5 linked regions of the Oryctolagus cuniculus genome follow. The protein of the gene in region 2 interacts with the protein of the main gene of each other region in a pairwise test. Links are inferred from orthologs where the notes say so. Each region holds a gene or a part of one and is shown on either strand. Other genes may lie near its edges.

Region 1 (3,514 bases), on a different chromosome or scaffold from region 2:
TTTGTGCTCCTTTTGGTTCTCCCAGATGACAGACAGGGTTGTGTGTGTTTTCACAGGAAGAGAAGGAGAAGGTACAAGCACAGAAGGAGGAAGTTCTTAGTCAGATGAATGACGTGCTAGAAAATGAACTCCAATGTATTATTTGCTCAGAATACTTCATTGAGGTAATTATGACCAGTGGCGCACCCCTTCTCACTCTCCCAGCACGGAACGGAACCTGGACCATGCATGCTGCTTCTGCCAAAGAAACACTCTGAAGAGATTTTTCTTCTAGGAATTTATAACTATTTGTTTGGTATGGTTAACATTTTTAGCTGCAATAAAGCCTTTCTCTCTTTGTTGTTAGGATGGGGGAAACCAGATCACATAGCCGAAGTATCAGAATGAAGCAGCCCGGAAATACTTCTCTCTCTTTACTCTGAATGGACACAAAGCTAAGAGTAGGCTTGTAGTGTAGTTTTTAAAATTAAATTTATTTGAGAAACAGGTGAAGAAAGCTCCCATCCATTGGTTCTCTCTCCACATACCCACAGTGACAGGCCTCAGAACATGGATGGCAGGAACCCATTCACTTGCTTCATCACCACTGTCTCTCAGGGTATGAGTTAGCAGGAGACTAGAGTCAGGAGCCAGAATTGCAGTTCAGGTCTCCACATAATGGCAGGAGCTCCATTACTTGAGCCTTCACTGCTGCCTACCAGGGTCTGTGTTAGGAAACTGGAATCGGGAGCCAGAATCAGGAATCAAACTCAGATGTGAGATCTGGCATCTTAACTGCTAAACTAAATACCTGCTTCTGCCATGCAGCCTTTCAAAGCAGAATGGTCAGTGCCATTGATGTGTGGTCATTTTGGGAATTCAGAATTCAAAAGCCACGTAGAATATATTTCAGGACCTTCAGGCTCCTTGTGAAATGAAATACCTCTCCCCGAGGCTCCCATTTATTGTCCTGTCATCTTTCTTTTTTTTTTTTTTAAACAGATTTTACATCCACTGATTCACTCCCCAAATGGCTACAGTGGCTGGGGCTGGGTCAGGCGAAAGCCAGGAGTCAGGAGCTTATTTTGAATCTGCCACATGAGTGCAGGGCCTCAAGCACTTTCCCAACTGCACTAACAAGGAGCTGAATAGGAAGTGGATCAGCCGGGTCTTGAACCGGTACCCATATGGGATGCCGGCATCACAAGCTGTGGCTTTATCTGCTACACCACAGTGCTGGCCCCTGTACAAGATAAATACAAGCACCAGCTCTTGTATTTTTCAGAGGTCCTCCCATTTGTGACCAGTACAGCTTAGACCACAAGTGTTAAACTCAGGTTGTTAGACGACAGTGCTTTTCCGACTGATTAACAAAGGCAAACACACATACACACTGCATCCTTTTCTCAAGCAGTCTTTAAGGAGGCTGAGTCTGTTAGCCTCCTGAAAAAACCTCTCTCTCCTGGGCAACCTGTTTTTTCTTTTTTTTTTTCTGGATTCATTTTGACTTCTGGTCATAATTTCCTGCATAGTTTTTAGCTAGATGATTCCCTACTTTGGAGAAACTCAGTGTTGTTTTGACAGGGCTTATGGTCTCTGGTAAAGAAAGACAAGGAAAGGGACGTTGGAATGGGTGATAAGTTAGCCAGCTCAGAGTATTTGCATAGACATGAAAGAGACAAACGCTTTGACCTATGTTTTGTCACGGAGTACTGACCTATTCTGCTAGCAACCGCTTAAAGTCAGTCTTAGATGTTTCATTTTAACAAAGCATTTTGGCTGGTGCTGCGGCTCAATAGGCTAATCCTCCACCTGCAGCACTGGCACCCCGGGTTCTAGTCCCGGTCAGGGTACCGGATTCTGTCCTGGTTGCTCCTCTTCCAGTCCAGCTCTCTGCTGTGGCCCGGGAGTGCAGTGGAGAATGGCCCAAGTCCGTGGGCCCTGCACCCACATGGGAAACCGGGAAAAGCACCTGGCTCCTGGCTTCAGATCAGCGCGGTGTGCCGGCCGCAGCGGCCATTGGAGGGTGAACCAATGGAAAAAAAAGACCTTTCTCTCTGTCTGTCTCTCTCACTGTCCACTCTGCCTGTCCAAAAAAAAAAAAAAAAAAAAAAAAAAAAATTAAAAAAAAGCATTTTTAGCATTTTTAATCTTGTTTATGAGGGTTTACTTCATGAACTTCATAACACTTCATAATGAAAAATATATTCTAGTTTTCTGATTTTGTGAGTTCAGCTTGCTATTGAAAAATGTATAACTTAGATGTTATTTTCCACTGCTTATCTTAAAAGCAGAAATGAGGATTTTTAAACTTCAGAAAAAGTTGTATCTTAGAAGATACATACATCCATACATATGTGTATCTATATTATATATATAACATATATATATATATATATGTATGAACAAGAGTGACAAGGAAGGGGCTAACATGGTAGCACCACAGGTTATGCTGCTGCTTGCAATGCCAGTGTCCCATACTGGAGTGCTGGTTTGGGTCCCCACTGCTCTGCTTCCGGCTCAGCTTCTACTTAATGAGCCTGAGAAGGCAGCAGGAGATGGCCCAGATACGTGGGCCCCTGAAACCATGTGGGAGACCAGGATGAAGTTCAGGCTCCTGGCTTTGGCCTAGCCCAGACCTGGCTGTTGGGGCCATTTGAGGAATAAACAGTGAATGGAAGACCTCTCTCTCTCTCTGTCTATCCCTCTCTCTGCCCCTCTGCCTTTCAAATAAATAAACACATCTTTAAAAAAGAGAGAGAGAATGGTTTATACTCTTGGGAGTGAAAAAAAAATCTGACCAGAGGGAGTGCTCAGAGAAGCCCTGAATCACAGGCTTTGTCCTGCGGTCTCTCTTTGTGGATGTGTTTGCCTATAAGTTCAGGCACTGTCAGTGAACCCATTATGTATTTCACATTTTGGCTTCTTTAAAGATGTTACCTCCTACCATTCTATACATTAAGTGGTCAGTATTCACTTACACTTGGTATACTAAAATTGAGGTTGTAACTCACAAGTAGCAGTAGCTGTTTGTTTTTAATTATAGAATTAGTTTGTTTTTAATAAGAGAATTAGTTTTACATTTGTATGTTCATACACTTACTCATCCTGCTGTGTCCAGTGGCATTTGTCACTCTCAGGATGGTTGACCCACATTGGCAGTGTGGTTGACTTAGGGGAACAAAGCAGACAAATCAGCCTATCCAGGACCTGAGTCTGTAACCTTAACTTTGAGAAGGTACAGCACGGATTGTCTAACATGAAACCTAAAATTTCCCAGCCCAAGAATGATTCTGATACTACAATCCACATAGAAGTGTAGTTATCTTTTTGGTTGGCCTTGGAAAATAGCTCCTGTCCTAGCTTTGAGAATGAACTGCCAAGAAAGTAAGTGTGAAAGTTGTGATGTGTGTTCCTGTTCCCACTGTAGGCTGTCACCTTGAACTGTGCCCATAGTTTCTGCTCCTACTGTATCAAAGAATGGATGAAGAGGAAGATAGAATGCCCCATTTGTCGCAAGGACATTGAGTCCAAA
Region 2 (3,481 bases):
ATTGTAGACCTAGTAGCAATTTATTGTTATACATATACACACTCACGGGGGTTAACATCAGCCACTGTGCCTTCCAAGCATTCCCACGCCACCATGTGCACACGCGTTCAGATACACACACACACACCTGCTCCTCTTGGGTGGCAGATTTCCCTGGCCCTCCTCTCTTCCCATGGGCGTGGAGGGACTTCTGGGCAGTTTTCGGGGTGGGAAGTTCCAGGGGCCGCTGAGGTTGGAAGGGAGAGAAAGAAGGCAGCAGCTTTGAACTGGGGCGGAACAGTCCAACAGGCTCGTCTTGAACGGACCTGAACCCAGGCCCCCGGGGAGGTCATCCTCAAACCGGAAGTCCTGGCTTGATCTGAAACTCAGCCTCTGTCTTTGGGCATGGCTGAGTATCTCCAGCCTCCTGGAGGCCTTTGGCTGAGAGCGGCGGCGGCACAGGGAGTGCCTGCGAGGGGGAGCAGAGTCCGGGAGCCGCGGAGGGAGGCTGGGCCTCTCCTGCTCGTCCCGGCCAGGCCCTCAGCATCCTAACAGGACAGGCCTGTGCCGAGGAAAAGACTGGCTCCCTCCCTCACGTAGGCGCAAAGTCCGGGCTCGCCGCGCCCCGGGCAGGGCAGGGCAGGGCAGGGCCGGGCCGGGCCGGGCCGGGCGGCTCAGCCCCAGGGGCGGGGCCTGTGGTCCGAGGCTGAGCGAGCGTGGTCCGGGTAGTCCAGGCGGCTCTCGGCAGCGGTGAGCATGCGCTCGGGCTCCACCACGAACATGTAGTAAAGGTTCCACACCAGCATGGACAGCAGCGGCAGGAAGGTGAGGCCGTAGCCGAAGCCGCGGAAGGAGCGGCCCACGGCGAAGGTCAGCCAGTAGATCAGCCTGCGGCGGCGAGAAAGGCCCGGGCTAGGAAGAGCGGCGGCTCACCGGCCGGTGCGCTTTATGCGGGTACCAAGTGCCAGTTAGGCAAGGTGCACCAGCTAATTTTGACTTCTCCACACCCCACTGAGATGCCTGTATTATTCCCCTCCCTCTTTTAATTATTTGCTTTTAAGTTTCAATTAAAAGTTTTTTGTGTGTGCTAGTGGGCGTTTAGCCTAGCAGTTAAGACAGGGGTCAGCGCTGTGGTGTAGCGGGTAAAGCAGCCACTTGCAGTGCCGGTGCCCATATGGGATGCCGGTTCGAGTCCTGGCTGCTCGGCTTCCGTTCCAGCTCTGCTATAGCCTGGGAAGGCAGTAGAGGATGGCCCAAGTCCTTGGGCCCCTGCACTCTGGTGGGAAACTCGGAAGAAGCTCCTGGCTTCGGATCAGCGCAGCTCTGGCCGTTGGGGCTGTTTGGGGAGTGAACCAGAGGATGGAAGACTTTCTCCCCTCTCTCTTTCTGCCTCTGCCTCTCTGTAACATTGCCTTTCAAATAAATAAATAAGTAGGTCTTAAAAAAAAAAAAAGACGCCGTCATCACCTATCACAATGCCTGGGTTCAAGTCCCACTTTTGTGCCCTATGCCAGCTTCCTGCTAACACGCACCCGAGAAGGCAGGGGGTGATGGCTCAAGTACTTGGATCCCTGCCATCCACACGGGAGACCTCGCTTGGGTTTCTGGCTCCTCGCTTTGCTTTGTCCCCGCCCCAGCCACTGTGGAACATTCGGAGAGTGAACCAGTGAATGGAAGTCCTCAGGGCTCACTCTGTCTCCCTCCCTGCCTCTCAAATAAATAATTTTTAAGATTTTTGAGTGGACCATATACATGGTTCAAAGGTCAATAAGTACAGTTAGTACCTTCCTCCCTGTAGTGATCTCTGCCCTATTCTACCCCCTCTCCACCCTAGGCAAGCGATATTAGGTTTCTTGTGCATGGAATGATTTTTTTTGCATATATGAACAAAATATTTGTTTTTTTTTTCCTTTTTTGAATCAGTAGCATATTATATAGACTGTTTTGCATGTTGATTTTCCCTCATTTAATATACTTGTATCTTGGAGATCATTTTATATCCATATATAAACAGTTTCCTCATTCTTTTACAGCTGTAGTGTGGTTCCATGGTAGCTAATTACCCTTTTGCAGGTGAAGAAACTAAGATTCCAAAGGGGTTAAGTAAGACTGGCCCAAACTCACACATCTGGGACATAGCAAAGCCATGATTTGAACCCAAGCCTGTTATCACCCCCTCTCAGGCCTTTTTAGAAGAATGGAAGAAAAGCAGAGAGTAAGGAAACCAGCTTCAAGAGGGTTTCAGGGGCCGGCATTGTGGTGTAGCAGGTAAAGCTGCCAGCTGCAACGCCAGCATCCCATACGGGCGCCAGTTCGAATCCTGGCTGCTCCACTTCCAATCCAGCTCCCTGCTAATAGCCTAGGAAAGCACTGGAAGATGGCCCAAGTGCTTGGGCCCCTGCACCCATGGGAGAGACCCAGATGAAGCTCCTGGCTGCTGGCTTCAGCCTGAGTACTGGCCTTTGTGGTCATCTAGGGAGTAAACCAGAGGATAGAAGATCTCGCTGTCTCTGTCTCCCCTTCTCTCTCTCTCTCTAACTCTGACTTGCTAATCAATCTCAATCAATATTTTTTAATAAAAGAAGAAAGCTTTAAGCTCAGAGGGATGGAGCAGCCACAAGCAAATCCGCCCTCTTGGAAGATCCACTCAAAGCACACATCGCCCAACGAGGGGAGGGAGAGCAACTTCCTCCGGGTATGTGAAGGGCCAGTTGCTACAAAATTGAGCTGCCTGTGCTTGGTTCACCTGTGGAAGAGGCTGGGCGCGGGGAGAGTGAGTGACGGCACTCTGCTGCAGGAGGCAGCTGGACATCGGAGAGGACAGGCTGAGCCGAGTCTCACTAAATGCATCAGTAAGCGCTCCGTGCGTGAGATCCTTTAATCCTCACAACTCCAACTTAGAGATGAAGACAGACAGCAGATAATCAAGGAATTTGCATGGAGCAGACAGCCCTGAGTGGCAGAGGCAAGGGCTCTGCTTTCCAGCCCTGAGCAACTCTTCTCCCCCAGCCTCTCCTGATTTCCGCTTTCTAAAATGGGAAATGTGGACCCACCAGTCACCGAGTCTTCCTTAACTCTCTGACAATTCTCACTGCTTGAGGCCACTTTTGTCTGAGCCCAGTATCCCCCAAGAGTCAGGAAGGGGAGGTTGGATTACACGGGAGGAACATATTTCTCTTGGGAGATCTACGGGGAGAGAAACATTAAGGCCACATGTTGGTCAAGAGGACCAGCTGACCATGCAACTATAACCAGAAGCCACAAGAAGACTACTTGTAGCTCAATGAGAATATTTGAGAAGTTAAAGCTGTCTGGAATCCTTTACTGAAAGTAACAAGAGGGGGTCAGCGCTTAGTGGGTTAAGCCGCCGCCTACAGTGTCAGTATCTCTATGAGCACGGGTTTGTGTCCTGGCTGCTCCACCTCCGACCCAGCTCCCTGCTGTGGCCTGGAAAAACTGGAAGATGGCCCAAGTCCTTGGGCCCCTGCACCCACGAGGGAGA
Region 3 (4,251 bases), on a different chromosome or scaffold from region 2:
AGCGTTGCCAGGACAACCGGGCGGAGGGGGCTCTGGGGAGCAGGCAGGGGTGGGCACGGCCATTGGGCCGGCTCCTACATCTGACACCTGCACTCGGCTGAGGCTGAGCCGAGAGGAGGATGTTGGTCTCTTCCTGCTCCCTGTGCCCCCTCCTCCTCCTCTGTCCTCTCACCCATCGGGGGATCCTCTGTGGCTGCCGGAGGCTTTGGCAAATATTTAAAGGGGCGTTTGGGAGTGAGGAAGGCGGTGAGAGCAAACACTTCCTTTCCTCTCTCCTCCTGGGGCTGCTCAGGGGCCCTCAGAGCAGAGGTCGTGCTGTTGTGCAACCTGGAGAGGAGAGAGGGTCCTTGTGCCAGGGCTGGAGAGTGGGGAGGGTCCAGCTGGTGGCCTGAAGGCAGGGTCGTGGTGTGAGTGAGGCAGGGGACAGGGCTAGGAGTGATACGCTCAAGGAGAGGAGGCCGGGAGAGGGAGGTGCTGGGCTCTGAGTTGACACCCTCATGGCAGCTCCAAGGTGAAGGGGCTTCCCAGCTCACTTGGCTCCCAGAGGGAAGGGGAGCCCAGGCGGAAAGGTACCATCCCCCGCGAAGCCAGCGGCCGATCTGAGAGTGAGCCACGGCCACGGCTTTGGGGAAGGACGTAGGAGAGGGAGAATGGCGGCTGGGTTTGGGGTGGTGGTGACGAGGTCAGAAAGGGGACAGAGTGGGGTGAGTAGCCCTCTGGAATGCCCTTGGTACCAGAGAATATGAAATGCAGAGTGCAGCCGGATGTTGGCGATGATCGGCAGTGTGGAGCAAGCAGGCACAGCTAAGAACAGGGAGACTGGGAGGCGGCCAGTAACCACACCCAGCCCTGTGCAAGGCCGTCGGGGCTGAGGGAGCCGCGTCTGCCATCTAGCAAAGAGTGGAGCAGTGCACATGAGTAAGAGTTTTCCACTGGCGGGCACAGAGTTTCCAAACAGAAAAGAATGACTGGGGGCTAGCCTGAGGTCAGGCAGGCCACGTGTGAGGCGGAATGCATAGAGCGGGAATCCGGCCCTCCCAGAGAAGTGCACACCCAGGAGCCCTCCTGCGCCCCCACCCTAAATCCTTTCAGGGTCTGCTGATGTTGGCTCCTCCGCCCCCTACCCCGAACTCACCCCTAGAAATTCTGCTGGCAGGTGTGGCGGGCGGTCAGACCCTTGGCCGCCTGAGTGGTTCCGCCTGGCAGCAGAACAAGGGTTGCGAGGGCAGGTGCCAGCAAGACAGGCAGGCCGGCCAGGAGACACCCATGGTGAGCGCTGCCGATGGCCGAGGGGCAAGTTTGCTCGGCACACCCAGGCTCGCTGCCGTGCGGGAAGAGGGAGCTCACGTGCCAGGGCCAAGGGCCCTTGGGGGCACTTGTAGCTGGCTTATCAGGGCCTTGGCTCTGGAGGGCCAGGAACAAACAGGCTTCAAAGTCAAGGACTTGGCTGGCAGACAGGGGGCCCGGTCCTTCACCTCTGCCCTCTCTCCGCACGAGCACATATAAAGCCCTGGTCATACCCAGGAGGCGAGGAGAGGCGGGCACCTGTGGCAAGATGGACATGGGCAGCAAAGAGGCCTTGATGGAGAGCCCACCGGTGAGTGCATGGGAGCGCGCGTGTGTGCAGGTGTGTGTGGGACCCTGCCTCCTCCACCCTCCTAGTTAAGATGGGGACTCTTAAGGCCACTGAGACAGAGTCCCTGGGGGAGACAATAATTCCAGTATAAGGAGGTGACGGCCATCACAGGGACTGGTCAGTGGAGTGGGCCGGGAGGCCAGCGTCGTGGCACAGCAGGCTGAGGCATCACCTGCAACACCACCATCCCATATGGGCGCAGGTTCAAGTCTCGGCTGTTCCGCTTCTGATCCAGCTCCCTGCTAATGTGCCTGGGAGAGCAGTGGAGGATGGCCCGAGTACTTGTGTCCCTGCCACCCATGTGAGAGATCTGGATGGAGTTCCAGGCTTCTGGCTTTGGCCTGGATCAGCCCAGGGCCACTGGGGAATGAACCAATGGATGGGAGATCTCTATCTATCTATCAATCTGAAATTCTGCCTTTCAAACAAATAAATAAAGCATTAAACACAAATCTAAGGTCTCTTTTATTAAAAAAATGGAGAGGGTAGTGGAGGGAGGAGCCACTGAGTACTCAGGGGGTTGCACGAAGCTTCCAGAGAGAAGGCAGGTAGAGCCAGAAAATACAGAGGAGCTGTCCAGGTAGAGCAGGAGGGCTTTGCAGGAAGGTGGGGGAGTGTGGATGAAGGCACGGCAGTGTAGGCGAGCCTGGGCCATCTGTGGAACACAGGGTCTGGCTATGGCTGGGTGCCAGGGAATTCGGAGAAATAGCAGGAGACGAGCCCTGGCCAAACAGGCCACCCTGGGTCCCTGCACACGAGGCCTTGGGTTTGCTAGAATCCAGGTCACTTCTTCCAGGGAGCCTCCTCTGGTCGTCACAGCCCTCCCCTGCACATGGGTGGCATTGGCGTTGGCTGTCCATCCCTCTGGGTGCATGTGTGTGAGTGGGTGTGTGCACGTGTGGTGTTGGCTCTGAGTGTGTCTGTGTGAGCACGTGTGTGTGGCGTTGGCTGTCCATCCCTCTGGGTGCATGTGTGTGAGTGGGTGTGTGCACGTGTGGTGTTGGCTCTGAGTGTGTCTGTGTGAGCACGTGTGTGTGGCTTTGGCTGTCCATCCCTCTGGGTGCATGTGTGTGAGTGGGTGTGTGCACGTGTGGTGTTGGCTCTGAGTGTGTCTGTGTGAGCACGTGTGTGTGGCTTTGGCTGTCTATCCCTCTGAGTGTGTGTGTGTGCGTCTGTGTGGCTTTGGTGGTCCAACCTTCTGAGTGTGCGTGTGGCCGAGGTGTCCAGCTGGCACGGGTCTCACTGCTGCCCCCTGCCGGCAGGACTACTCAGCAGCTCCCCGGGGCCGCTTCGGCATCCCCTGCTGCCCAGTGCACCTCAAACGTCTTCTCATCGTGGTCGTCGTGGTGGTCCTCGTGGTCGTGGTGATTGTGGGGGCCCTGCTCATGGGGCTCCACATGAGCCAGAAACACACCGAGATGGTGAGCAGGCGCGGGGCTGGGGTGAGCAGCGGGTGGGTGAGGGTGGGGGCAAGCCGCCCCGGAGCTGGGTGGGCTGGGCCAGGGGAATGCCAGGGTGCAGTGTGGAGGGAGAGGGGCGGAGATGGGGGCGGGCCAACCTGGCCTGGGCTTCCACTCGGGCCCCTGAGCTCTCTCTGCAGAGAAAGAAACTGCATCTGGGTAAAGAGAGGGGAGGGGGCCATGGGCACTGGAGTGGGGGACAGGAGTGCCAGGAACATCTCCCCCAGGTCCTAGAGATGAGCATCGGGGCGCCGGAGGTCCAGCAGCGCCTGGCACTGAGCGAGTGGGCGGGCACCACGGCCACTTTCCCCATCGGCTCCACCGGCATTGTCACCTGCGACTACCAGCGGGTAGGCTGCCTGCACCCCTAGGGCCACAGGCTGTGCCGCTTCATCACATCCGCCTCTCCCCCCTCTCCCTGGGTGGGGGGTAGAGGGAAGGCCTGAAACCCAGATTCCAACAGGACTCCTGTGTCCAACCCAGGGGCTGGGTGAGCGCAGGGGTAGGCAGTGAGCGAGGCAGGGGGCCTCTCGACTGACCTGTAGCATGTCACACCCAGCTCCTGATCGCCTATAAGCCAGCCCCGGGAACCTGCTGCTACCTCATGAAGATGGCTCCAGACAGCATCCCCAGTCTGGAGGCTCTGGCTAGAAAATTCCAGGTGGGTGTGTGGGTGAGGGGTGGGGGCTGTCTGCCTCCCAGGCCACACTTGAGATGATGAAGGTACTTGTCACCTGTAAGGCATGCCCAAGTGAGTGCCCACCTCTCCATCCTCACCTGCACCTGCCTCCCCTACCTGTTCCCCCTCCTCCAAGTGCATGGCCTCAGCTGAGCCCACGCAGCCCTGCCTAAGGTCCCACCAATAAGGGCTCCAGGTGTGACAGGCTCTGGGTCCCCAGACTCCAAGTTGGTATTCTTCCCAGGCCAACCCTGCAGAGCCTCCCACTCAGCGGGGCCAGGACAAGGGGCCAGCCGCAGGCCCGGCGTCCTCCGGAGGAGAGCTGGCCTTCCTGGGCGCGGCCGTGAGCACCCTGTGTGGGGAGGTGCCTCTCATCTACATCTAGGACTCAGGTGAGCAGGTGGAGGAGGGCTTGGGCCACCGGCCACCTGCGGCGGACCAGGCGCTGGGGACCCAGCCAGGCTCACTCCCTCTCC
Region 4 (4,148 bases), on a different chromosome or scaffold from region 2:
TGACTTTGATTAACCCTGACTGGGAATTCAGAGGGGGATTGCTCTATTATAAAGAAGGGATTTGCTGAGCAAACACAACTGCTGGGGTCAGATTTAAGGTGCTTAACTGACTTATTTTGAAGTCCAATTAAACCCTTCAGAGGCTCTATTTATCTTCAAACATCTGATTTGTTGGTTGCAAACTCATTTAGCCTGTATTCATAAAGAAAGTTATATAATTTGACATCTTCCACATTTATTCAATAACTCAGGTTTTTCAAAAATTTTGACCAGTTCTATTTCTAGCCCCAATCTATCGAAATGACTATGTCTTGCCATTTGAATTTACTGCTATATTAGTTTACTGACAGAGATAGACAAACCACGCCTCTCTCAGCTGTTTCAGATGAAACTGTAGATTAAGGTGTAAACTTGCAATGCACTGTTTAGCTGGAAAGTTATGGGGAGCAGGTGATGGAAGAGATAACTTTCACTGTTTGGACTAAAGTCAATTTTGAAGCAGCTCAAGATGTCTTTTGAATTCTGGATCGTGGTGTGTGTGTGTGTGTGTGTGTGTGTGTGTGTGTGTGTTGGAGAGAGAGAGAGAGAACTCTTTATATTGCAAACAGCTAAAGATATAGGTGGTAACACAAAGTCACATCTTTACACCTAGGCCTGCTCAGTAGTGGGAGTGGCCAGATGCTGCACTGATTTTTAAAAATTATTTTATCTGGCTGGCGCCGCAGCTCATTAGGCTAATCCTCTGCCTTGCGGCGCCGGCACACCGGGTTCTAGTCCCGGTCGGGACGCCGGATTCTGGCCCGGTTGCCCCTCTTCCAGTCCAGCTCTCTGCTGTGGCCCGGGAGTGCAGTGAAGGATGGCCCAAGTCCTTGGGCCCTGCACCCCATGGGAGACCAGGATAAGTACCTGGCTCCTGCCATCGGATCAGCGCGGTGCGCCGGCCGTGGCGGCCATTGGAGGGTGAACCAATGGCAAAGGAAGACCTTTCTCTCTGTCTCTCTCTCTCTCACTGTCCACTCTGCCTGTCAAAAAAAAAATTATTTTATCACTAATGGTTTGTGATGTTTTTAAAGATAAGTTAGATGTATTCATGAAAATGCAAAGGATCAATTTAAAATCCACATCAAGTGCACCAAAAGGGAACTGGAAATAGAAGTTTTAGTGCCCTTTGATGTTTAAATAAATTGGCAACCGAAGAAACAGTCTTAGTCAACATATTTCCAAGTCCCCCTGAACACAAATAGCCTCAAACCTTCAGGGTTATTCCTTTCAGCTGTTTCATCAGTGACATCACAGTGTCACCTCCCTTGGACTACTTTAGGCCCTGCCCAGAGCCCAGGAGTCCACACAGCCTGGGAGATGAGCCGGAGTTGGAGCCAGAGTTGGAGAAAGTAAGGAGAAACCTACAGCAGCCAACGTGTGTCCTTGACCTTCTTCAGGTAACAGCAAGGTTTTTAGGCTTAGCATAGGGTGCATGTGTGTGTGTGTGTGTGTGTGTGTGTGTGCAAGTTTTAAATGAGAAAGGCAGAATGTTTACATATCTTAATAAAATAGGCAATACCTACCTTAAGATGTAAAGTCATTCCTATTTTCTTCATGCATGTTTCCCCTTCCGATAGTTACAAAACTTTCTTTATAGCACAGAAGAAAGTCTTTAATTTTCTCAAAGACTCCATTGATTCCAAAGTCAAACTTCCTGTCCAATTTATTCATAGATTTTTGGTTTTCAGTTCATCCATATGGCAATCTCTTTGGATCATATGGCATGAACTTGACTTCAGGAAAGGTTTAAGTTGAAGCCAATAGAACTTGATTGATCTGGATTTTTGCCTAAATTTGGATATTCCTAAAAGGCATAAATGTGTGTGTGAGTAAAGTCTACAGTTAATTGTGAGCACACATATTGAAAGAAATGGATTCTTTAGAAATTGTCATCTTAACTGTGTTCTAGTCATTTAAAGAATACACGAAATAATAAATACTTAAGTTCACCATCAAAGTGCAAAAAATAGTAGGAGGTAAAGCAGAGGAAAGAAAGAATAATAATAGATAGCCTGTCAATTCAGAGATGACTATAAAGCAATATGAAGAACACATAAAACATACACAGTTTAAGACATAATTTTAGGGTATCAATTGTATAGCTGTCACCCAGGGCAGGAAGCAGTTCCTTGTTAGCATCCCAGAAATCTGTGCCTGATTACCTCCCCTGCTGTCCCAAGATGTTGAGATCATCTTGTCCTGGTTTTTATTTAAAATTTTACTAACCTTAATATTGCGATAAAGTTCCATGTTTTTTATGTTAAATAGATGGAGTCATTTTGTTCTCTTGCAAACTATCTTACACCCAACAATTATATTTCTGAGATCCACACATTTTTGTTTTGTGTAGCTATAACTGAAATCCATGTATTTTCTTTCTACTCTAGTATTAAAATGTATCAATATGCCAAGTTCTACTATTATTTCCAATTTGGGATTATTGTGAAAATGTTTCTGTGAATACCCTTGTATATGTGTCCTGGTGCGTATGCACTTAAGCATCTGGGGTGGAAGTAAAATTGTTAGATACTAGGAGATGAGCATTTTTAAGCTTCAAAAATGTCAAATAGTTTCCCAAAGTGGTTGAAAATTCACACTAATTTTGTTTATTCAGACTAGTTCTTCGCCAGTGATAACTCTTTCTTGTAATCACTCCTTTGGAGTGACCACAATCCTAGTAACTAGTTCCAGTCAGCCATTCCTAGGCCTGCCTCTAATTTGCTGCCTTTAATGTGCCACCACACAAACAACTTAACCATTCTCTAAAAGTTATTTTTTTCCAGCTGTAATCTTGGGGGAGATAAAAATCACAATAATACTTATGTGAGTTTTTGTGAAGATAACAAAAGCATTTTTCTTATTTCCTGTTAGGCCATCATCCAAGACTCCCTTTACTTAAGAGCTTAATTTAAACAGCAGATTTGGTGGAGCAATTATTTTCCTCCCCCTGAATTGGGTTGTTTTGATCATTAAATACAGGATATTTACTGTATATCTGGAGAAGTTACCCAAGAAAGTGGGTATTTGGACCAGGGTTTGATTTCATTTAGAAAATCCTAAGGGAGAGTCTGTCTTTGTTTCTCATTCCTTTGCCTTTGCTCCTTGACTGGACTCACTGCCCTCCTGTTGCCTTCTTGCACTTGCTCTCCTCCTTTATGCGTTAATTTTCTTCTGTTCATTTTCTCCTCCAAGCAAATGTCTGTAAAGATTTTCATTAGCAATGTAGTACTTCCTTCATGCTGAGGGCCAAACGATGGATAAGAATTAAGAGGGAAATGAAACATTAACCAGTCTCATTCACCATATTTTGAACCAAGATTCAATAACCTAGAGGTTGCTATCATCTGACTTAATCTGCTCTACCAACAAGTATGCAATATGAACAATGACTATTCATATGTTATTTATGCAATTAATAATTTGGCCATTCATAAGTAATAAATATAGTAGTTATAATTAATAATTTATCATAAGCTAATAACTTGCTAGCAACCCTTTCAGTTCCTGGAGCTCCCACCCTTAACAAACACCTTTCTTCTTTAAAACTTTTCACTCCACAGTAGACTTTTGTTGTAAATATCTAAAGTATAGATATCTAAGAATCTAAAGTACCTAACATATCCAAGTCTTTCATTTAGACCACATAGCAAAATGCCAGTTATATCTCATCACTAAAGTAATAGATTGACTGTAGTGCATGCATTCTCAAAGTATGATTCCCTGCATGTACAATCTGTACACCCTAAGAGGATACCATCCCTGCTCTTTGAAGTGTTTACAATCTAGGCACATCCTGGACTGGACTAAAAATAGCTGGCGCAATCCCTTTTTGAAATAGGAGTACCCATGAGGTTAACACTTGCTCTCTGGACTGAGTATCTGTTGTGTGAGGGACTTTTGATTGACCCTAGTAGGCTCTGTGCCCTGTGCAGGGCTTGTCAGAAGCCACGCAGCTGTTGAAACTGCTTTTCACCAAGGTTGGATGAAGACTTAAAGCAGCCTGAAACTAGAAATATTATGATCTCCCATGCCTATATGGGAAGTCAAAGCAGGAACAACACTGGACCGGAACATTTTTCTGTTTTGGTGCCTTGTATGGTGATCCT
Region 5 (3,250 bases), on a different chromosome or scaffold from region 2:
TTTAAGGAAACCTCTGAACGTGGGAAAACCACTTTGGGAGGATAAACATAAGAGGATTTAATAAGCAGAGTGGAATTAAGAGTTGAGTTGAAAATAGCTAAACAGCTACCAGACACTTAGTAAATGCATTCTATCAAAAGATTGCAACAGGCTTCAACTTACTGGTTTCCAGTTCCTAAAGCTGAAAGAACGGAGGAGGAGAAAGAAAAGGAGGGAGAGGGAGGGAGTTTGAAGCATTGTTTTGGAACTTAACATTACTCAATCTGACAGGTTTATAAAATTTCACCCAAACCAACAGCAAAACCTGAATGGGCTGAAGGTTCAATTCCCCCCCACCAAGAAAAAACCCCATCTGGTTTAAAATGACAAAGGGTGAAATACATCCGCTTATGGAAAGCGGGGAGGGCTTTCTGCCGTTGGCCAGCATGCTAGGTGATGGTTGTTGATGAGCAATTCCCTTAAACAACTGATTTACTGCCAACAGACACAAGCGCTGGAAGCACATCCAGAAACTCATCTGCAATTAAAATTGCAAGCAAGTGGTCACTCTGTCCACTCCCTTCCCAGAGAGGTGACCCTGCTCCCGGTAACCACCCCCACAAGGGTCACAGAGGGACACCTCCCTCCTCCAAGCCTCTTTCTTCGGCTTCAAACACCGCTATAAAACCTGCCGCCGCCTCGCCTTTGTAAAGGGTTGTGGGGCTACAGTTCCTTCTTTCCTTCCTCCCTGTCTCTCCCAACTCCCTCCTTCTCTTCCATCTTCCCTCTTCCTTTTCTTTCTAAATGCGCTCCTTTTTCAACGGTGGTCCTCCCAGACCACCCCCAGGGCACCCGGGTCGGTCGCGGAGGGGCGGAGCAAGGCTCAGGCGGCAGGGAGGCTGGTGCCCTGGCCAGCGCCATCTGGCACCTGCACTTCCTTGCCACTTTGCACACGCCCAGAGGTGAGAGGGGCGCCAGGCAACCGGCACACACAGCTCCAGCGTTCCAGCGCCTCTGAAACTTTCAACTGCTCGCACCTTTAACCCGCAAACTCCTCAGTGGTCCAGCAAATCAGAAGAGTCCTGGGACCTCTGCCTGGCCTCTGGAGTTGCCAAAGAGACCAAGCCAGAAAAGCTTTCCCCCACCGCCCAGCGGCGGCGGGCGCAGAGCGACGGCGCGGCCGCAGGGGGCCGCTGTTCGCTCAGAGCAGCTCCCTGTAGCCGCCGCCGCCGCCGCCGCCGCGTCCCGCACCTCCCACGGCGCCACTGGCCCAGCCCCGCCAAGTTCTAACAGCCCCCAGTCGAGCGAGCGCCGCGAGCGAGCACCGCCCGGACCGGAGCGAACAGCGCAGACGATCCGGGCTGCGGTGCGCGTCGGAGAGGCTCCCGGGAGACTCGCACGGCCCGACCGACGACTTTGGCAAGGAGAGCGCCACAAGCCCCGCGCGCCCAAGTCAGCTAGCGAGCGCTCAGCCCGGCACCTGTTCCTCCCGCATATCGGACCCCGCGTCTCCCGGGGCGCCCGCCTTCTCCCGCCATGAATCCGGCGCTGGGCAACCAGACCGACTTGGCGGGCCTGTTCCTGGCCAACAGCAGCGAGGCACTGGAGCGCGCGGTGCGCTGCTGCACCCAGGCGTCCGTGGTGACCGACGACGGCTTCGCCGAGGGCGGCCCGGACGAACGCAGCCTGTACATCATGCGCGTGGTGCAGATCGCGGTCATGTGCGTGCTCTCGCTCACCGTGGTCTTCGGCATCTTCTTCCTCGGCTGCAACCTGCTCATCAAGTCCGAGGGCATGATCAACTTCCTGGTGAAGGACCGGAGACCGTCGAAAGAAGTGGAGGCGGTGGTCGTGGGGCCCTACTGACCGGCCCTGCGGCCCCGCGGCCGCCGCCCCCTCGCCGCCGCCGCGACCCCCGGCCTCAGCGCCTGGGCGATGCAAACCTGTCGGAGTCAAGTATTTGACTTCTGCCTTTGAGGATGAAGCGACCCTTTTCTCTCGCTCACCCTCTGCGAGGCCTCGCAGCTGGCTATAGGCGAGCGCCCTGACTTTTGCACTCTGCAGCAGGTGGCAAGAACAGGGCGATGGGGGCACAGAACTTTGGAAGCTGACTCTCGCGTGGAAAGCGGGGAGACCGGCGGGGCGAAGGCCGCTTTCCACCCGCAGGTGGGCCAAGCGCTTGGAGGTGGCGGGCGGAGGGGGCGGGCTGAGGGGGGGGGGGGCGTCCCAGGGCGAAGATCGCCTGTTGACAGGGAAAGTGGCCACACTACAGACCCGATGGGGACTCACACATCCTGGCCGGGACTGGCGTCCACTGCGTCCCGCTGCCCCTTAGCCCCCCGCGCGTGGGGAGAGGCGCGCCACGAACACCTTTGACTGTAACGTGCCGTCTTCAAGGGATTTTGTGTTTGTGTGCTTGCATACGACTATTCGATGCGTTCTCTTCTGCCCTAGTGGCCCGTTTGCCTGCCGGGGGTGGGGGTGGGGGTAGAGTTTTGTCCTCGCGGGAGAAGGGGGGCGGGGAGGGAGCCTGCGACTGTGGACCGGGTGAGTTGTTCCTTTCCACGCTTTCCCAGCTGGGTCTTTCTGGAGGGCTGGCGCCGCCGCCGCCGCCGGCCCCGGGACAAAGACTCGGAATAGAACTCCTCGTAGCTCGTGACTGCACGGTTTACGCCACAAAAGTGCTCTTGACATCCGTGACACCGTTTCGACTTTCTTTCTTAAACATTTCCTTAATAAATGCGACCTGTAAGTGTTTTGTTCCTGGCCTCCTTCGTGGTCATTCTGCGCTCCCTGGCAGAGGGGGGCGGGCAGCTGTAGAGTCTGCTCCGCGGCCAGGGGAATTTCGCCTTGGAGAGATGCGGTTCGCCTCTCGGGGGTCCGGAGGAGGCGAGGGTGGGGCGACATGGAGAGAGCCCTGAGCCCCGGGCGCAGCGGTCCCCCAGGTAGGCGTGACGATGAGAGGGCCCCCCGCGGGTTCCTGGCCGGCTCCATCGGGAACACGGGGTTACGCCGCTAATGAAAGGCAGGGGTGGCGGGGCCGGCCCGTGGGGGAGGGCGCCTCGCCCCGGCCAGCGCCCGCGGCCCGCGGCACGGCGTCGGTCGGGTGCTGCTCCAGGAGCGTGTGAAAGGCGAGGCGGGGTTGACGCTCTCCGTTACCGACACACGCGGTGTATTGTTGTCTTCCCCTACAATACCTTTGCTAGCCGAAATGAGACTGGAAGAAAGGATCAACGTTTGAGGCTGTGAGCCCGAGTTGATCATCCACAGC

The links.
Region 1: the proteins of TMEM79 (region 2) and RNF8 interact in binary tests that used the Homo sapiens proteins (3 or more experiments, as listed by UniProt). The two-hybrid records come from large-scale screens. The link is inferred for Oryctolagus cuniculus from reciprocal best matches to the Homo sapiens genes TMEM79 and RNF8.
Region 3: the proteins of TMEM79 (region 2) and SFTPC interact in binary tests that used the Homo sapiens proteins (3 or more experiments, as listed by UniProt). The two-hybrid records come from large-scale screens. The link is inferred for Oryctolagus cuniculus from reciprocal best matches to the Homo sapiens genes TMEM79 and SFTPC.
Region 4: the proteins of TMEM79 (region 2) and SLN interact in binary tests that used the Homo sapiens proteins (3 or more experiments, as listed by UniProt). The two-hybrid records come from large-scale screens. The link is inferred for Oryctolagus cuniculus from reciprocal best matches to the Homo sapiens genes TMEM79 and SLN.
Region 5: the proteins of TMEM79 (region 2) and RPRM interact in binary tests that used the Homo sapiens proteins (3 or more experiments, as listed by UniProt). The two-hybrid records come from large-scale screens. The link is inferred for Oryctolagus cuniculus from reciprocal best matches to the Homo sapiens genes TMEM79 and RPRM.

The regions. Positions count from the first base shown.
Region 1 is NC_091436.1:132,255,184-132,258,697, reverse strand, and holds part of RNF8 (E3 ubiquitin-protein ligase RNF8), read left to right. Parts: intron 1-56; coding exon 57-164; intron 165-3,409; coding exon 3,410-3,514. UniProt on the Homo sapiens protein: E3 ubiquitin-protein ligase that plays a key role in DNA damage signaling via 2 distinct roles: by mediating the 'Lys-63'-linked ubiquitination of histones H2A and H2AX and promoting the recruitment of DNA repair proteins at double-strand breaks (DSBs) sites, and by catalyzing 'Lys-48'-linked ubiquitination to remove target proteins from DNA damage sites.
Region 2 is NC_091438.1:42,422,894-42,426,374, forward strand, and holds the end of TMEM79 (transmembrane protein 79), read right to left. Parts: intron 868-3,481; coding exon 654-867; 3' UTR 506-653; downstream 1-505.
Region 3 is NC_091439.1:1,147,291-1,151,541, reverse strand, and holds the start of SFTPC (surfactant protein C), read left to right. Parts: upstream 1-1,445; 5' UTR 1,446-1,555; coding exon 1,556-1,597; intron 1,598-2,898; coding exon 2,899-3,057; intron 3,058-3,323; coding exon 3,324-3,446; intron 3,447-3,655; coding exon 3,656-3,757; intron 3,758-4,019; coding exon 4,020-4,160; 3' UTR 4,161-4,167; intron 4,168-4,251. UniProt on the Homo sapiens protein: Pulmonary surfactant associated proteins promote alveolar stability by lowering the surface tension at the air-liquid interface in the peripheral air spaces.
Region 4 is NC_091432.1:99,520,911-99,525,058, reverse strand, and holds the start of SLN (sarcolipin), read left to right. Parts: upstream 1-1,345; 5' UTR 1,346-1,439; intron 1,440-4,148. UniProt on the Homo sapiens protein: Reversibly inhibits the activity of ATP2A1/SERCA1 and ATP2A2/SERCA2 in sarcoplasmic reticulum by decreasing the apparent affinity of the ATPase for Ca(2+). Also inhibits the activity of ATP2A3/SERCA3.
Region 5 is NC_091434.1:88,453,709-88,456,958, forward strand, and holds RPRM (protein reprimo), read left to right. Parts: upstream 1-1,374; 5' UTR 1,375-1,515; coding exon 1,516-1,845; 3' UTR 1,846-2,741; downstream 2,742-3,250. UniProt on the Homo sapiens protein: May be involved in the regulation of p53-dependent G2 arrest of the cell cycle. Seems to induce cell cycle arrest by inhibiting CDK1 activity and nuclear translocation of the CDC2 cyclin B1 complex.